Linked DNA regions of Canis lupus familiaris. The protein of the gene in region 1 interacts with the protein of each later gene in a pairwise test. Links are inferred from orthologs where the notes say so. Each region holds a gene or a part of one and is shown on either strand. Other genes may lie near its edges.

Region 1 (5,658 bases):
TTTAAGTTGAAGGTCTTGTGTGGAGGGGACAGCACAGGAACAGCCTTGACAGTCTGTAATTATTGTACAAATATTTTAATAGCATATAAATAAGTATATTCCTTTTATTTTGGAAAAAAAAAACATGATCAGACACTGCCTTTTGTGTGTTTGCTGCCTGTGGCACCCTTTTTTAAAAAGACTGTTACATATTAAAATAGTGTATATATATATATATATATATAAATATTACCTCTTTTGCTGTACAGTTGTGATAGACCAGACTGAAGATTTTATTTTTTGTGTGCTTTTTATAAAAAAGAAAAAATAACACACTAAAGTAAATCTTGCGGATGTGATTGTAATGTACCTATGTAACTTATTTACTTTTGAATGTTCTTCTGTATCTTTAAACCTTTTATTAAATAAGGTTTTAAAAATTCAGAGTTGAATGCTGTGTTCTTTTGGGGAAGATTTTCACCATCTGGGATTGACGTTAAGTAGGCCCTGTTTTGCTTGCAGGGGGTTGCTTGACATTTTTGAACCACAAGGAGGATTCTCTTTTGTCAGCTCTTTCTCGATACCAGGACAGGAAAAATAACACACTAGCGTTTTGCCTGGCTACGGATTATTGACTAGATACGGGTTTTTTTTTTTTTTTTTTACAAAACTTTAGACAAGAAAAAGTCTCAACTCAGTGTCTCACACAAAAATATGAACACGGCACGCTTCCAACGTGTTAGTTTGAGGGGATGTATGGAGGGTGCAGAATGCAATCAGGTGGGACAGGGAAGCTGCGGTGCTAAAGACCGTATTTTCCTACCCAGCGGAAGACCAGTGACGGAGGCATTTGCAGCCTTAACTCCACTCCAGAATTATATTATCTTTTAAACAAGGTGCTTTGTTAAAAAAAAAAAAAAAAATTTTTTTTAAGGGCACCTGGGTGGCTCAGTGTTTGACCTCCTGCCTTTGGCTCAGGTCAGGATCCTGGGGTCCTGGGATAGAGCCCCGCATGGGGCTCCCTGCAGGGAACCTGCTTCTCCCTCCGCCTCTGTCTCTGCCCACCCCTCATGAATAAATAAAATCTTTTTTAAAAAATGAAATAAAGGGCAGCCCGGGTGGCTCAGCGGTTTGGCGCCTGCCTTCGGCCCAGGGTGTGCTCCTCGAGTGCCAGGATTGAGTCCCGCGTCGGGCTCCCTGCGTGGAGCCTGCTTCTCCCTCTGCCTGTGTCACTGCCTCTCTTTCTGTGTCTCTCACGAATAAATAAAATCTTTTTTAAGAAATGAAATAAAAACTGGAAAATGTGAAAAAGGAAATGCGCCACCAAAGAGAGCAGTGTCCGGAGCGTCAGGCCAGCGCCTCTGCAACCGCCCCACCCCGCCCCCAGCCCCAACCCCGGGAGCGCGCGGAGCGGGCGGGAGTCCGGGCCGCCGTTGCCATGGCTACGCTCGGGGGCGGGGCGCGGAGGAAGCGGCTCCGCAGCCGGCCCCGCCCCGCACTGCGGCAGTAACGCCTCCGCGGGCTGCGGTGGGACCCCGGCGGCCCCGCTGCGCCACACCGCCGCAGCCCGCCGCAGCCTGCGCGCCGCCGCCGCCTGTGGCCCCGCTTCCCCGTCCTTCGGCGCCTCCGCCGCCCGTGTGCTCGGTCCTCAGCCGCCCTCACCGCCCGGAGCCATCCCTGCGTCTGCAAAGAAGCCGCTGGCGGGCTGGCGTGGCAGCCACCGCCGCGACCTCAGAACAGGCTCTGCCTCCGGGGACCGCACAGCCCTCGTCTGCAGAGCAGCCGCTCCTCGGCCGACTGGAGGCCGGGCTCCGGCCGCGGACGCCGGGATCGCCTCCGAGGGGAGCCCCGAGTGCCGGCGCCCGGCTGCCGGGAGGAGGCGGCCACGCCCCGCGACCACACCCGGGCGCCTCCGGCCCCGCGGCGCAGCCCTCGCCAGCCGCGCTCGCTGCCCGCCTCCTGCGCTGCGACGGGACGCGACCCCCGGCTGCAGGTGGGGGACCCGGGCCGCGGGCCCCGACTGAGGACGCCGGTGGCGGCGGACGCGTGAGGCGACTGCCCGAGCCTCCCGGGGCTTGGCTCCGGGGACCAGCCGGCGGACTGCCTTTGGGGGCCGCGAAGGAAGAGGGCAGGACTCTGGTGTCGTTTGTTAATTGTGATTGCGTCAAGCTTGCCTCCCTCGCGCCTACGGGGGTGGGGGGGTGTCTGCTGCCGCGCTGAGCCCTAGAGCGCAGGGAGCCACAGCCTAATCCGTCTTTGTAGAATCGGGGCCCTCGCTAGTTGGGGAAATGGCGATGACGCTGTTGGAAGACTGGTGCCGGGGGATGGATGTGAACTCCCAGAGAGCCCTGCTGGTCTGGGGGATCCCAGTGAACTGTGATGAGGCTGAAATCGAGGAGACCCTCCAGGCTGCGATGCCCCAGGTGCCCTATCGAGTGCTTGGGAGGATGTTTTGGAGGGAAGAGAATGCGAAAGCAGCCTTGTTAGAGCTCACTGGCGCTGTCGATTACGCCGCGATCCCCAGGGAGATGCCGGGTAAAGGAGGTGTCTGGAAAGTGGTCTTTAAACCCCCGACTTCCGATGCTGAATTTTTAGAAAGGTTGCACCTCTTCCTAGCGAGAGAGGGGTGGACCGTGCAAGATGTTGCCCGCGTCCTTGGGTTTCAGAACCCCACTCCGGCCCCGGGTCCAGATATGCCAGCAGAGATGCTAAACTATATTTTAGATAACGTTATTCAGCCTCTTGTTGAGTCCATATGGTACAAGAAGTTGACGCTGTTCTCGGGGAGGGACATCCCGGGGCCTGGGGAGGAGACCTTTGATCCCTGGCTGGAACACACTAATGAGGTCATAGAGGAGTGGCAGGTGTCTGATGTAGAAAAGAGGCGGCGGTTGATGGAGAGTCTTCGGGGCCCCGCCGCTGATGTCATCCGCATCCTCAAGACGAACAACCCTGCGATAACCACTGCCGAATGCCTGAAGGCGCTTGAGCAGGTGTTTGGGAGCGTCGAGAGCTCTAGGGATGCGCAGGTCAGATTTCTGAACACTTACCAGAACCCGGGAGAAAAGTTATCTGCGTATGTCATTCGTCTGGAGCCTCTTCTGCAGAAGGTGGTGGAGAAGGGGGCCATAGATAAAGATAACGTGAACCAGGCCCGCCTGGAGCAGGTCATTGCCGGGGCCAACCACAGCGGGGCCATCCGGAGGCAGCTGTGGCTGACCGGGGCCGCGGAAGGGCCTGCCCCTAACCTCTTCCAGTTGCTGGTGCAGATCCGCGAGGAGGAGGCCAAGGAGGAGGAGGAGGAGGCGGAGGCCGCCCTCCTGCAGTTAGGCTTGGAGGGGCACTTCTGAGGCCCAGGAAACGGCGACAGTGCACATCTAGATCGCAGCCGCTTACCTTGTCTCCGTGCTCTTACAGATGTGTCCCTAGTGGTAAAGACTTCCGCCATGTGCTGTTTTGGGGGTGGGGGTAGGGAGTCAGGCCTGAGTATTCATGTAACATTAGTACAATCGCGCAAATGAGCACCCTGAGCTGCTACAAGTGAGTCGTACTCGCTGCAATGCCAGGTAAAGACTTGTACACAAGTGCTCAGTGCCAGCTGTCATTGTGGCAATCATCCGTTGTAAAAACCATGTGAATCCCTGACACTTCTCATTGAGATAATTGTGAAATTGCATGTTCAGATGTTTTAGCGTGGGGCCTGGCAAACACAGGAAGTGTTCGGTAAAAATATGAGCCGTTGTTACTAATATTGTGAATAGTTTTTGTGTTTACAGTAAATTGTTCCTAAGTTTTTTCCCTAATTTATATTAATGGAAAGAAATGTGACTCATACTATTTATTCAGCCTTACAAAGCAAATTGTTTTATTTTTCATCTCGAAACATCTGGATCACTTTAATTGAAAAGTATTCTGAGACTATGGAATGGGATGTTAGAAAAATACTGCAATTCTAGAATTGTGTGAATCAATTTTTCTGTGTACAAGACACAGGGAGTGTCTTGTTGCATGGGGAGATTAATAAGAACCAGTTACAGTATCTATTCCCCCATTTCAAATCCTTGTCATTGAATGGTAGTTCTTGTTCATGCTGATTCTAAGTGTTCTAAATTTGAAGTTGTCAAAATACATGTATATGAATAAAAGTATTTAAAAAATTCTATTGTCTTTTTTTTCTGACACATATATAAAATTTCAGTGTAATTAAGCTCTATATTTATTCTCTTAGGAAGATTTCCTGGTGTCACTTAAAAAAAATATAACTTCAGTTACTGTATCTTTAACCTTATAGCATACTATTTGAGTTTGAATTACAGAACCTTTCAATGTATTCAATTTTTGCATGTTTTCTACAAGGCAAATATTAGAAGGCTGAACAGACCTAAGTCAATATTAACTTACTATAAAAAGTTAGGAAATCCTGAAATGGGGCTCAGGATGTTATCTAGTAATGCTTTTTCTCCCCTTTCAAATCCCTTTTCAGGGATCCCTGGGTGGCGCAGCGGTTTGGCGCCTGCCTTTGGCCCAGGGCGGGATCCTGGAGACCCGGGATCGAATCCCACGTCGGGCTCCTGGTGCATGGAGCCTGCTTCTCCCTCTGCCTGTGTCTCTGCCTCTCTCTATCTCTCTCTCTGTGACTATCATAAAAAAAATAAAAACCTGGATTATTTTTTAAAAAATCCCTTTTCAGCTAAAAATGTTTGTTTTACTACAGGAATAATTTCTCATACCTGTTTAAAATGAATGTTTCTGATTTATAGCAGCCATTTTATTTTTTTTTTGTCAAAATTCATTTTTATTAATAGAAAATACTTATTCCAGTTTCAGTTGTTATACTTGAAGTTGCTAATAAAAAAAAAAGAATTTAAAATAATCATCCTGTTTCGACTAAGACAATGAAGCTGTAGCTTAAAAAAAATTCACGATTTTGGGATCCCTGGGTGGCGCAGCGGTTTCGCGCCTGCCTTTGGTCCAGGGCGCGATCCTGGAGACGCGGGATCGAATCCCACGTCGGGCTCCCAGTGCATGGAGCCTGCTTCTCCCTCTGCCTGTGTCTCTGTGACTCTCTCTCTCTCTCTGTGACTATCATAAATTTAAAAAAAAAAAAAAATTCACGATTTGCTCATAAAGGTCTTTCAGAATTTGTTCTTAAAGTTTCTGGAACTTTCCTGTCAAGTACAGGAGTTACTGAGCTACATGAGGAAGTCTCTCTGAGACAACCAATGAGAAGTTAAGCAGTTGTCATAAAAGGAATCCCTGTATGGTAACCTGGACTATACAAAGATCCCCTCCCCTCCAGCTCAGGAGGGACATGCCTCTAAGCACTGAGGTATGAAGAGTCAGACTGTTATTTGCTGTTAGAATTAGCTAATAACGGGATCCCTGGGTGGCGCAGTGGTTTAGCGCCTGCCTTTGGCCCAGGGCGCGATCCTGGAGACCCGGGATCGAATCCCACGTCAGGCTCCCAGTGCATGGAGCCTGCTTCTCCCTCTGCCTGTGTCTCTGCCTCTCTCTCTCTCTCTGTGACTATCATAAATAAATAAAAATTAAAAAAAAAAGAATTAGTTAATAACAGTAAATCTCTGGCACGGATGCTACTGGTCTATAGTGTCCTGTGATTTTAGGAATTTCTGTAAATAGTTTCAATTTAATTCACTTTATTCAGAAATTAAACCTGTT
Region 2 (5,640 bases), on another chromosome or scaffold:
AACAAAACAAAACAGGGTGTTATTCTGTATGTTGGCAAATTGAACACCAATAAAAAATACATTTATTATTTAAAACAAAACAAAACAGAATAAACACTAAATGGAAAAAAAAATGAGGGCAGCCCGGGTGGCCCAGTGGTTTAGCGCCGTCTGCAGCCTGGGGTGTGATCCTGGGGGGAGACCTGGGATCGAGTCCCACGTCGGGCTCCCTGCATGGAGCCTGCTTCTCTGCCTGTGTCTCTGCCTCTCTCTCTCTCTCTCTCTCTCTCTCTGTATCTCTCATGAATAAATAAATAAAATATTTCTTTTTAAAAAAAAAAAAAGGAAAAAAAATGATCTTTTTATATAAGTGGGCAATTGGGCAGCCAGGGTGGCTCAGCAGTTTAGCGCCGCCTTCAGCCCAGGGCCTGATCCTGGAGATCTGGGATCCAGTCCCACATCGGGCTCCCAGCATGGAGCCTGCTTCTCCCTCTGCCTGTGTCTCTGTGTGTCTGCCTCTCTCTCTCTCTCTCATAAATAAATAAAATCTTTTAAAATAAATAAATAAATAAGTGGGCAGTGGGTACAACAGAAAGGCTCCTTACAGGGCACTTTGACGATACAAGATTGTTAGCTACGGTATATTTCACATTATAAAAACTTTGTTAAATCACAGAGTCAGTGTGAAGAGGTGCACAATTTTGTGGGTTTGCACTCTGCATTCTGTTCCACTTCTTAGGTTTTGGCTTCTCTAGTTGGCCATTTCTGGAATGTGCCCTGCCTCAGGCCTCCAGGCCTTTCAGAACTTTGGCTCAAGGGCTTAAACACAGTGAAGCCCTCCCAGCATCAGCCAGACAGGCTTAACTCACCTTCATCCAGCCCCTCTGCTGCAGGACCAAGGACCGTCCTACACTCCCACCTCATCAGATGAACTGTCACTGTCGTGGTTTGCCTGATTGCTTATCTCCTCACTAAGCCAAGGACAGCTGCTAAACAGGAATCACTTTTTAATTTCCAAGAGAAAGCAGCACTGAACCAGGTGAGTCAACAGATCACCACTTCACAATCATTTGAAGCATTACAAAAAAAGCAGACCCCCACTCCCAGAAACTCCGGGAGTAACCCTGAGTATCTACATTTTTTTTTTTTTAAGATTTTATTTATTTATTCATGAGAGACACAGAGAGAGAGAGAGAGAGGCAGAGACACAGGCAGAGAAAGAAGCAAGCTCCATGCAGGGAGCCTGACATGGGACTCGATCCCGGGTCTCCAGGATCACACCCTGGGCTGAAAGAGGCACTAAACCTCTGAGCCACCCAGGATGCCCGAGTATCTACATTTTAAAGTCAGTAATGGAGATGCCTGGGTGGCTCAGTGGTTGAGAGTCTGCCTTTGGCTCAGGGCCTGATCCCGGGTTCCCAGGATCAAGTCCAGCATCAGGCTCTTTGCAATGGAGACTGCTTCTCCTCCCTCTGCCTGTGTCTCTGCCTCTTTCTGTGTCTGTCATGAATAAATACATAAAATCTTTAAAATAAATAAAGTCAGTAATGACTTTCAAAATCAAACCACCTCATTCTGGAATCCTATAGTGGAGACAGTTGCACAGCCTTGTGAATGTATTTTTTAAAACCACTTTGGGGTGACATATGGGTGGTTCAGTGATTGAGCATCTGCCTTTGGCTCAGGTCGTGATCCCAGGATCAAGTTCCACATCACGCTCCCCACAAGGAGCCTGCTTCTTCCTCTACCTATATCTGTGCCTGTCTCTCTGTGTCTCTCATAAATAAATATATAAAATCTTTTTTAAAAATAAAAAGTAAAAAATAAAAACACTTTGGGGCATCTAGTCCGTGGAGCATGCAACGCTTGATCTCAGGGTTGTGAGTTCAAGCCCCACGTTAGGCATAAAATTTACTTTAAACACACACTTTAGGGCAGCCCAGGTGGCTCAGCGGTTTAGCGCTGTCTTCAGCCCGGGGCATGATCCTGGAGACCTGGGATCGAGTCCCATGTCAGGCTCCCTGCTTGGAGCCTGCTTCTCCCTCTACCTGTGTCTCTGCCCCTCTTTCTCTCTCTCGTGTGTGTCTCTCATGAATAAATAAATTTTTAAAAAAATCTTTAAAAATAAAAAAATAAACACACACTTTAAAACTGAACTTTATGGGGGCAGCCCCGGTGGCGCAGCGGTTTGGCACCACCTGCAGCCCAGGGTGTGATCCTGGAGACCCGGGATCGAGTCCCACATCGGGCTCCGTGCATGGAGCCTGCTTCTCCCTCTGCCTGTGTGTCTCTGCCTCTCTCTCTCTCTCTCTCTCTCTCTCTCTCTCTGTGTCTCTCATGAATAAATAAATAAAATATTTTTTAAAAAACTGAACTTTATGGTGTGCAAACTATACACCAATAAATAGAAAACAGAACAATCCAGAAGGGTCCTTGATCTCCACATCCAGGGTAGAATGAGGTGCCCATGAAGGAACAAGAGGCCTCTAGCCAGGTCACTCACATATGCTTCAAGGAACAGAGAGCCCTTTGTACCAGGACCCCCTAAGAGCAAGGAACCAGTGCCCCAGCTCCTACAAGTACACACGATTACCTGGAATCTGCTAACACAGTCAGGCTGCCCCATAACTATTCCTTGAAGAGCCTCAGCTTTCCTACCCTTCAATCCTACCACCGTCTGCAGGTGTGTCCCACATCCTCCCTCTCAATCAAGGGGCCACTTCTAAGCCAAACTCACTTCAAATGAAGAGGAACTATCTGCAATCCTGGCCACATCCATTTCGAAGGAAACACTGGAACCTCTGATTCCCCTTCCCCATAGCACAGGTGAGCCCCTAAGACAGGAAATGCACTCCAGGGTCCAAGGCCCAGATGCTAAACACACACACAGGTGCACACAAGTACACAAAGATAGGCAGTAAGCAACAAATGCAAAGACACGGGTCAGAGTCCGGGCCCCCCATACCCTGGTCTGCAGATAAAATACCTTGCACCACATCACAGGGACTCGGACCCAGACTTGCAGAGCACCGAGGAAAGGAATTCCAGGGTAAACCAGAAGTTCCCCAGGTGAAATGGCTTTTCCTCCATTACCCTCCCCAGTCACACAACCAGAGGAAAGTGGGCTGAAACTGAGCATTCAGAGATAGAGGATGGGGTACTGAGTGGGCATGGAAGACGGAGGTCCCATAGGTCCAAGGGCTGAACCCAGGTACAGGGGGCGTGAGAAAGGGGCCTGAGAGGTCTACGGGAGACTGGAAACTCTGGGGGCGCAGAAGCGGGGGAAGAACCCTGGCGATCACGCCTGCGGGCTGGCAAAGGGACGGAAAACCCAAGGGGGGAGAGAACTTGAGCCTTCGCAACAGGATGAGGACCTAGGGGGCGGGGCGGGGCCAGGATAGGGATGCGAAGGACCCAGCGAGGCCGAGGCCAGGGTCGGAGCAGGAAGGACCAAACCTGGCCAACGCCAGGGTTGGAGTGGACAGGGCCAAGGCGGCTGCGGTGGGGGGTCGAGGTCAGGATGGGAAGCATAGAGCCAGGCTGCGGTCGGGACAGGAAGGATGGAGCGGGTTAGCGGGCCGGATGGAAAGGACGCAAAAGGGACCGGGGCGGGATGGGAAGGCCCGAGCGGAGCCAAAGCCGCGGGGCAGGAAGGAGAGCGGAGAGAGGCGCCGGCCGTACCTCCTCGGAGCTGGCCATGGTGAAAGCGGGCGGGGCCGCGGCTGCCAGAGCCGCAGCCCCAGGGCCTCCCCTGGCCCGCCAGGGATGCTCAAAGCCGGCGCGTCCGCGGCTCCACAGAGACCCCGGTAGGGGGCGGGGGCCTCGGCCTCCTGCCACTTCCGGCGCCTGCCGCTACGTACTTCCGCCCGCCAACCGGCGTGCCCCGGGGGGGCCGCCATGTTGGGTGCGGCGCTGTTCTCTGGGGCCCTGTTAGGGATGCGGGTTGAGCCCAGGAGCACTACGTCAGCCGCAGCGTCCTCTCGGGCCCGGGCTCTCCCTCGTCTGCTCTCTGCCTGCTACTTTCCAGCCACAATGTCCCCCTGCCGGCCCGGCACTCTCTTGCCTCCGGGCCTTGGCATTCGCGTCCCCATGCCTGCAAGTGTCCACTCGTGGGACCACCGTGCGGAAAACCACATCTCCTCCTCCCCTAAACTTGCGTCTTATCTTGTATTTCTCCCCATAGCTCTTTGCAGTATCTGACGTCCCGTGTCTTTTTGTTTCTTTCTTTTTTTATTTTTTTCGTTTGTTTTGTTGTCCTCTTGCTGCGCTCAGCCACGCACTAGTAAAAATCAGTGGGGAACACTTGGGTCAGAACCGGTGCCGAGTCCTGAGTGACCCTAGGCATGTAGATCTTTGCGCTGGGGGTGGGGGTGTTTCCCCACAGTTGTGGAGGCCAGAAGTAGGGAATGAAGATGTGACTGGGCCATGTTCCAATGGCTCTAAGGAAGAATCCCCTCTTGCTCTTCCGGGCTCTGGGTGGTGGTCAGCAATCCTTGGAGTCCCTTGGTTTGCAGCTGCATCACTCACAAGTTCTGCTCTCTCCCTAGAGGACCCACCCTCTTCATATGTGTGCCCGCGAACATGTGTGCACATAGCCTTTCTTTAAAAGACACCAGTCTTGGGCAGCCCCGGGTGGCTCAGGGTTGAGGGCCTCCTTCAGCCCGGGGTGTGATCCTGGAGACCCAGGATCGAGTCCCACGTCAGGCTCCCTGCATGGAGCCTGCCCCCCCCCCCCCCGCCCCCCGTCTCTCTTGAATAAATATTATAAATAAACAAACACACACCAGTCTTGGGGCACCTGGGTGGCTCAGTGGTTGAGCATCTGCCTTTGGCTCAGGTTGTGATTCTGGGGTCCTGGGTTGGAGTCCTGCATCAGGCTCCCCACAGGGAGCCTGTGTCTCCTGTGTGTCTCTCATGAATAAATAAAAATCTTTAAAAAGAAACAAAAGACACCAGTCTTGTTGAATTTAATACCCACCTTAATCTAAGATCTTAACTAGTGACATGCAAAGAGCTTGTTTCCAAATAAGGTCACATTCCAAGGTTCTGGGCAGACATAAATCTTTGGGGGACACTTATTCAACCTAGTACATCAGGTTTCATACGCTCTCCCTGGGCCTCATTTTCCTCCCACCTCATTGGGTTGAGCCTGTTAGTAGCAAGAGGCCTTTGATGAGCTCCTGTGGGTGGACCTTCCTGGGGGCAGGCACAGTCCTTGCCTCAAAGAGTTTATGGTTTAGTCAACAGTTAAATACAACTTGAAGCGTAATAAGCATGACTGTTAATGGAGGTACCATTGTTTACCATTGAAGCATTGACAATGGAGCCCAACTATGACAGAGGCAGGCATCTGGAATTTCACAGAGGCCCAGGTTTCTCCTCCAGTCCTCCTAACTCCTGACCCATTCCTTCTTTTCCCCTACAGTCTGTAATCAAGTATGTTTTTCACTATGGCAGAGGTGTTTTATTTTCTCTCCCTTGGGGAAGAGGCTGCTTTTGGGCAAACAGACTTGAGCGATCGATTGTAGAAAGGCCCCACAGCGTCCACTTAGCTGAACACAGGCCCATCAGGTGACGCAGCTCAAAATATCCGTAGGCACTAACTCACCAATGGGCTACTTACAACCCAGCACAGTTACCAATAAAGGGCAAATGCCATAT
Region 3 (5,688 bases), on another chromosome or scaffold:
AAAGATCATTTTTGGGTGGTGGAGGCCAGTCACATACCAAGACTCTTCCCTGAACTCAGAGGCAGGCTGGGGTCTCCGAGCACAGGGGGCTGCCCAGTAGGGCAGGTGGATGGGCTGTGGCACGGCCCCGGGCAGAGCACGGCTCCCACACCCAAAAGTGTGAGGAGGGCGTCAGGGCGCTGGGCCCAGGGAGGCCACGTGGAGGGGAAGGGCTCGGTGGGTGCTCCGCACAGCAGGCCAGGGCGTCCCCTTGAAGCCCTGTGCGGGCACGTGAGCAGGACCGCACGCATGCCCGCCTCCACGCTGTGGCCCCAGACCAACCGGCACGACCCGGGGCCGTGGGCACAGCCCCAGCATGGCGGTCAGAATGGCCGATGAACCAGAGTACAGGGTCTTTGCTAACAGTGGCTGCTGGAGGCTCGCTTCTCTCGGGAACAATACATCCAGAGGTAGGTGTCCGAGGTGGTACAGTGACTCCGAGTCATCCAGGGTCCAGGCTTGCCTTCTTCCTGCGCACATGGCTTCCATCTGCTGGTTCGCCTTGTGGTGTAAGGGGGCTGCGGGAGTGCCAGTTGTCACATCTGCATCAATGCCCAGATGTAGAGGACAGCGCGGGGGCCGTGGTCCTCCCCAGCTCGCTGGCCCCGCAGGAAGGAGCCTTCCCAGGAGCACAGCCCCACAATTTCCTCCCCTATCCCACGATCGCTCCTCGCTTCGAGGCAGACAGGTGTCTCAGAAACGCAAAACAGGAAAAGAACATCAGCCCATCAGCAGGCTGGACGGACATGGGCAGAGAATCTGCCGCCGTGGAGGAGTGAGGAGCGTGTCCCCGGGGCGGGACAGAGGGGCCGTGGCGGCTCAGGGGGTAGGCTGGGGGGCTGGGGCGCCAGGGCAAGGCGGTGCTGGGCAGGGCCCTGGGCTCCCTGGCTCACTTCCTGCAGCAGGGGTGGAGCAGGGCGCCCGGACCCCCAGAGGGGTGAGGCAGGAGGGCGAGGGAGGGGCCCTCATGAGGCAGGGGTGGGGCTGGGGAGGCTGGCAGTCGCAGTGTGTGGGGGGGTGGCGCACCGAGACCTGGACCTGAGGACGGCATGGGGGGCGCAGGGACCCCCACGTGGGGGACAGAGTGGCGTGGGCGCGCAGGGGGCGGCTGCTGCGGGGATGCGTCCAGGGAGGGCGGACCCTGCCGTGCGCCCCACACACGACGCAGGGTCCTTGACACAAAGCCCAAGGCAGCAGCAGGGGGAGGCACCTCCCGTGGCGGGGGCGCATCGAGGCAGGGCGCACAGCCCGGGAGGCCCTTCCCCAGCGGCTGGGCCAGGTCCTAACTGCACCCGTGAGGCTGCGCCTCGCGCTTTAGCCACGTCCACGCACATGTCTGGCGGCTCCAGCCAACATATGGTTTGGGAGAAAAAACCACCGTGGGAAAATCTGCAACAATTTGTGTTCAATAACGTCGCTCCTGGCGTCGTCCCTGACGGCAAAGAAGGAGCGCGGGGCGCGTGGGGTGCAGGCAGGGCCGCAGGCTGGGCCGCAAGATGCCGCGCTCAGGCGCCAACCGGTGCGCAACGCTGCCTGCGACGTGTGGGCCAGTGAGGCCAGGCTGTCCGAAAACACGCTCGCTGTGATTTCCTGTTTGTGAAAATTCACACACGCGTGTCTGGGGAGACGCGCAGTCGCAGCGCCACCGGGAGGATCATGTATGACTTTTTTCTGTATCAGTTTCTCCTTTGTGTTTATCTGTTTCTGGTTTTTTCTAAAATGAAAATATATCTCCTGCGTAATAAGAAATATTCAAGGGGACGGGGAACAAGGCCCAGTTCTCATTTCTGGGGGACGAACCCGGTTGCCATGGAGACTGGGCGGTTGTCAAGGCAGCGATTGGCTGGGGAGGATGCAGGATGTGGGATCCCAGGGCTCCCTCGGAGCGGAGCCGGCGCAGCTGTCAGACCGCAGTGCGGAGCCAAGTGCCAGCATGGACGGGGTGGACGCGTGGGCCAGCACCCTGGCCCAGCTCATGGCCAAGAGGAAGCCCCAGGACACCTGGGAGCTGGTCCCTGAGGAGAACCTGGCCTCCGGGGTCATGGAGAGTGGCGATTTTCAGTATCGGCTGAGGGGGCTCTCCAGGTGCGCTGGGGTGGGGGGCTCCTGGGGGGGCTGGGGGAGGGCTGAGCTGCTTGGTCCCCAAGCCGGGCTGGTGTGGTAGGGCCCTGTGGGCTGGGAAGAGGGGTCCCCCCCCACCTACCCCAGCAGGGAGCCGGGCCGGGTGTTCCCTCCTCTCCAGGAGGTGGGGGCCCCGGGACAACCTCTGTGCAGTCCCCTGGTGCTGGCCACTGCAGTCGGGGTCCTGCGGGGGGGAGCAGAGGCTGGGGGGCGACGATGCCACCCACACGTGAAGTGAAGGGCCTGTTCGCTCACTGCAGCATCTCCTGGTTTCCATGGTAGCACTGCCGGCCAGAGCAGGGGAGGGGCGGCTGCCGGGCTCACACCCCTCCCTGCAGAGGGGCCCAAGGGGCACAGGCCCGGGGTGGAGAGGCTCTGTATGACCTGGGTGGGGGCCAGCAGGGGCCCCGCTCCTCATTGTCATGATGACAGTGGCGGGGATGGGCCAGACCCGCGGGGGCCCCACCCCACCAGGCGTTCCCCCACCCTCCGGGGGCCAGCTGGGAGGGGGTCAGTGGGGGAGGTGGCCCACCGGCAGGTCAGCGCGGGGACTCTCCGGCAGCCACCCTGTGACATGGGCCCCTCAGCTCCCCGTGGCGGGGGGTGGGTGAGTGAGCAGCCCGGGGTGTGTGTGGAAGCGCCCCAAATCACGGGATGGCTCCCACCGCCCAGCAGGAGAGAACACCGCCTTCAGTGGCCGGGGCAGGGCTCTCTGCTGTCCTGCAGCTGGACACGGTGGAGGGGGGCACAAGGCACAACAGCCACGGGGCCTCCGGGAGCCTGATCACATCGAAATGCGGTTGACAGGTCAGCTCCCGGGCACCTGTGGCTGCCGCAGAGGCGGGGCCTGCCCGACGTTGCCACCCTCACCACCGCAGAAAGCTCCAGGGGAGGGCGCCGCTGGGGGACGCCCGGAGTGTGGTCGCCGGGCCCTGACCTTGGGGGCTTGGAGACGGGCCCACCTGCCCGGCCCTGGGGCACACGGCCTGGGGTGAGCGGCTCTCCCGCTCCCACGTTTGCAGCTGGGGCCGCCCCGTCAAAGGAGCTCACCGGTCCCAGCCCACCCCAGCTCTCCTGAGAGCCCCCTGCCCCCTTTACGTCAGCTTCTCTCCCTGGGGATGGAGCTCTTCCTCCCGGGACCTCCCCCGCCCCGTGAGTCCGCACAGCTTAGCCATGTGGACCCTGCCCCCCCCCACCGGCTGCCTTTGAGTCTTGGTGACGTGTCCGCAGGGCAGTGAAGCCTGGGTCACAGAGCTGATAAGCAGCAGGTGCAGCGACGCCCCCCCCCCCCACAGGTGTCAGGCCGGGCTGGGCCCTTGCGTGGGGTTTGGGTGCCAATCGGACAAAAAGGAATTTGCTTTTCAGCCTTTCAGATGATGCGCGGCGGGCAGGGGTGTCAGGGTTCGGAGCCCCCGAGGGGCCGGCTGAGCGGGGGGCCGCCGCCACCCTCCACTCACTGCCGCCCTTCTTGCCCGCAGGCTGCAGTGTGGCCGCTGCCAGTGGGGCTGGTCCTCGGCACACGTGCACATCCTCTTCCACATGTGCCTGGACGAGGACAGCCGGCTGGGGCTGGTGAAGATGCGCATCTGGGGCCAGCGGTGCCGCCTGTGCCCGCCGGGCATCCGGGCCGACTGCCAGGTGAGCCTCCTGAATATCCGGCTCTTCCTCAACAAGCTGGTCCTGTTCATCCTGCAGAAGTGCTACGGGGAGAGCCTCAGCGCAGACCAGTGCCCTGAGATCTGCTTCGGCGAGCGCTGCGAGGCCTGCGACCTGGGGGTCTGCTTCTTCCAGAAGCCCCCAGACCCGGCCTGGGGGCCCGAGGTCAAGAGCCCCACTACCATTAAGGGCCGGTACACCTTGTACGGGGGCGGCAGCGCCGATGCCTTGGAGGCCGGCAAGCAGCTGCTCACCTTGGGCAGCGGGCCCGTGGTTGACCGCTCCCGGGGCTACACCCCCAACTCCATCACCATCCCCCTCTCCGTGTCCGACTTCATCAGGAACCCGATTTCTGAGAGCAGCAACTTCTTCAGGCAAGATGATGAGATCGTCACCGTCCCCTTCTCCCTTGTGCACGTGGGAAGGGACAAGGGCCGGGTGACTCCGGGGCAGGGCTCTCGCCCCGCAGTGGACCCCTGTGAGTCGCTGGTCATCGCCAAGGGCTGCATGTCCTTGCCGGCCAGTTCCTCAGCTGCGTCCAAGGCCAGAGGCCTCCTGGTAAACATCCGGTGCCCCATCTTCCACGGCAGAGGGCTGCTCATCAGCAGCATCAAGCCCTTCCAGCTCAAGGGCTTCATCTTCAAGGGCCAAGGCTCCATCACCAGCCCCTCCGACAGTGACGAGGACACCGCCTCTGAGAGCGCCGACAGCAACCCGCAGCCTGTGTCCTATATCATCGGGCTCACGGATGACGGAGAGGGCTCTGTCACCTTCCCCTCGTCTCTGGCCGACATGATCCGAGACAAGGACTTCCCCGACATCAACGGCTCCGTCACCTTCCCCTTCATCTTCACTGGTGAAGACAAAAGCACCCAAGACCTAGAGAAAGAGGGTGGCGGCAATGGCCCTGCTGCGGCTGGCGGGCAACCCCTTCCGGGGACCCGCACCCGTAGGCCCGTCACCATCAGCGAGGGCTCTGTCACCATCCCCTTCTCGGTCTTCGACATCATCAGATGCAAGGGCTCCGGCTCGGTTGCCAGCGGCCGCCAGAGCAGCGGCCTGGCCCCCCATGGCTACAAGAAGAGGAGGACGCCGAGGGCCCGGCTCAGCAGGTCTGGCTCCCAGCCCAGCTGGGAGGAGGACTTGTGCTGCGACGACGGCTGCTGCGCGCCGCGCTTCGACCCCTATGAGGAGGTGTGGATCTGGGTGTCCATGACCGTGTGCATCCTCTGGATCATGTACCTGTACAAGTTCAGCCCTTGACAGCCCGCGCGAAGCCTGACGCCCCCTGCGGGTCCCTGCTGCACCCCTCCAGCAGGGCTGCCCAGGCCGCGGAGAGTGGACCCCCCCACCCCTGCCCGCACCCCGGGACCCCCGGCACCCCTGCCCGCCCGAGGGTGGGCCTCAGCCTTCCCCTCCATCTCCTGCTTCTGTGTGTGTTGTCTCTTGGTGTGAGTTGTGGCGTCTTGGATGTTCACTCCGTGATTATCCGCCAAGCTGCCCGCCCGTGTGCCCGGTGCCGGTCTGTATGAGTGTTACAATCCTAATAAAATAAAAGTTCAAAGGAAAACAAATCACAGTGTGTTTGGGCTGTGTGGACGCCAGCACCCTGGAGAAGGTTCAGAGGTGGGAGGGAGTGGAGGGCGGGTCACTGTCCCCATCGGTCCCCGTGGGGCGGGTTGCACACACGTCTTCCCCTGGGGGCCGCTGGGTTCCAGGCCTGGTGTGACTGACAGGACGCCCCTGAACCACTCTGGCTTCTCAGCACCCGCTGCCTGGAGGGCACCAGCCACATTCCCATGTGGACCCCCGGGGCTTTCCTGGAGCGGGTGGCAGGTGCACTCCCCACGACTGTGGGAAAAGACTAAAGCC

The links. The genes of interacting proteins can lie anywhere in the genome.
Region 2: the proteins of PNMA1 (region 1) and FBXL18 interact in a two-hybrid assay, tested with the Homo sapiens proteins (2 studies listed by BioGRID). The two-hybrid records come from large-scale screens. The link is inferred for Canis lupus familiaris from reciprocal best matches to the Homo sapiens genes PNMA1 and FBXL18.
Region 3: the proteins of PNMA1 (region 1) and RTP5 interact in binary tests that used the Homo sapiens proteins (3 or more experiments, as listed by UniProt). The two-hybrid records come from large-scale screens. The link is inferred for Canis lupus familiaris from reciprocal best matches to the Homo sapiens genes PNMA1 and RTP5.

What each region holds. Positions count from the first base shown.
Region 1 is NC_049229.1:47,275,416-47,281,073, reverse strand, and holds PNMA1 (paraneoplastic antigen Ma1), read left to right. Parts: upstream 1-2,013; 5' UTR 2,014-2,267; coding exon 2,268-3,329; 3' UTR 3,330-4,139; downstream 4,140-5,658.
Region 2 is NC_049227.1:12,590,995-12,596,634, reverse strand, and holds the start of FBXL18 (F-box/LRR-repeat protein 18), read right to left. Parts: upstream 3,811-5,640; 5' UTR 3,679-3,810; coding exon 3,661-3,678; intron 1-3,660. UniProt on the Homo sapiens protein: Substrate-recognition component of the SCF (SKP1-CUL1-F-box protein)-type E3 ubiquitin ligase complex.
Region 3 is NC_049246.1:51,690,855-51,696,542, forward strand, and holds RTP5 (receptor-transporting protein 5), read left to right. Parts: upstream 1-1,878; 5' UTR 1,879-1,891; coding exon 1,892-2,124; intron 2,125-3,638; coding exon 3,639-5,079; 3' UTR 5,080-5,377; downstream 5,378-5,688.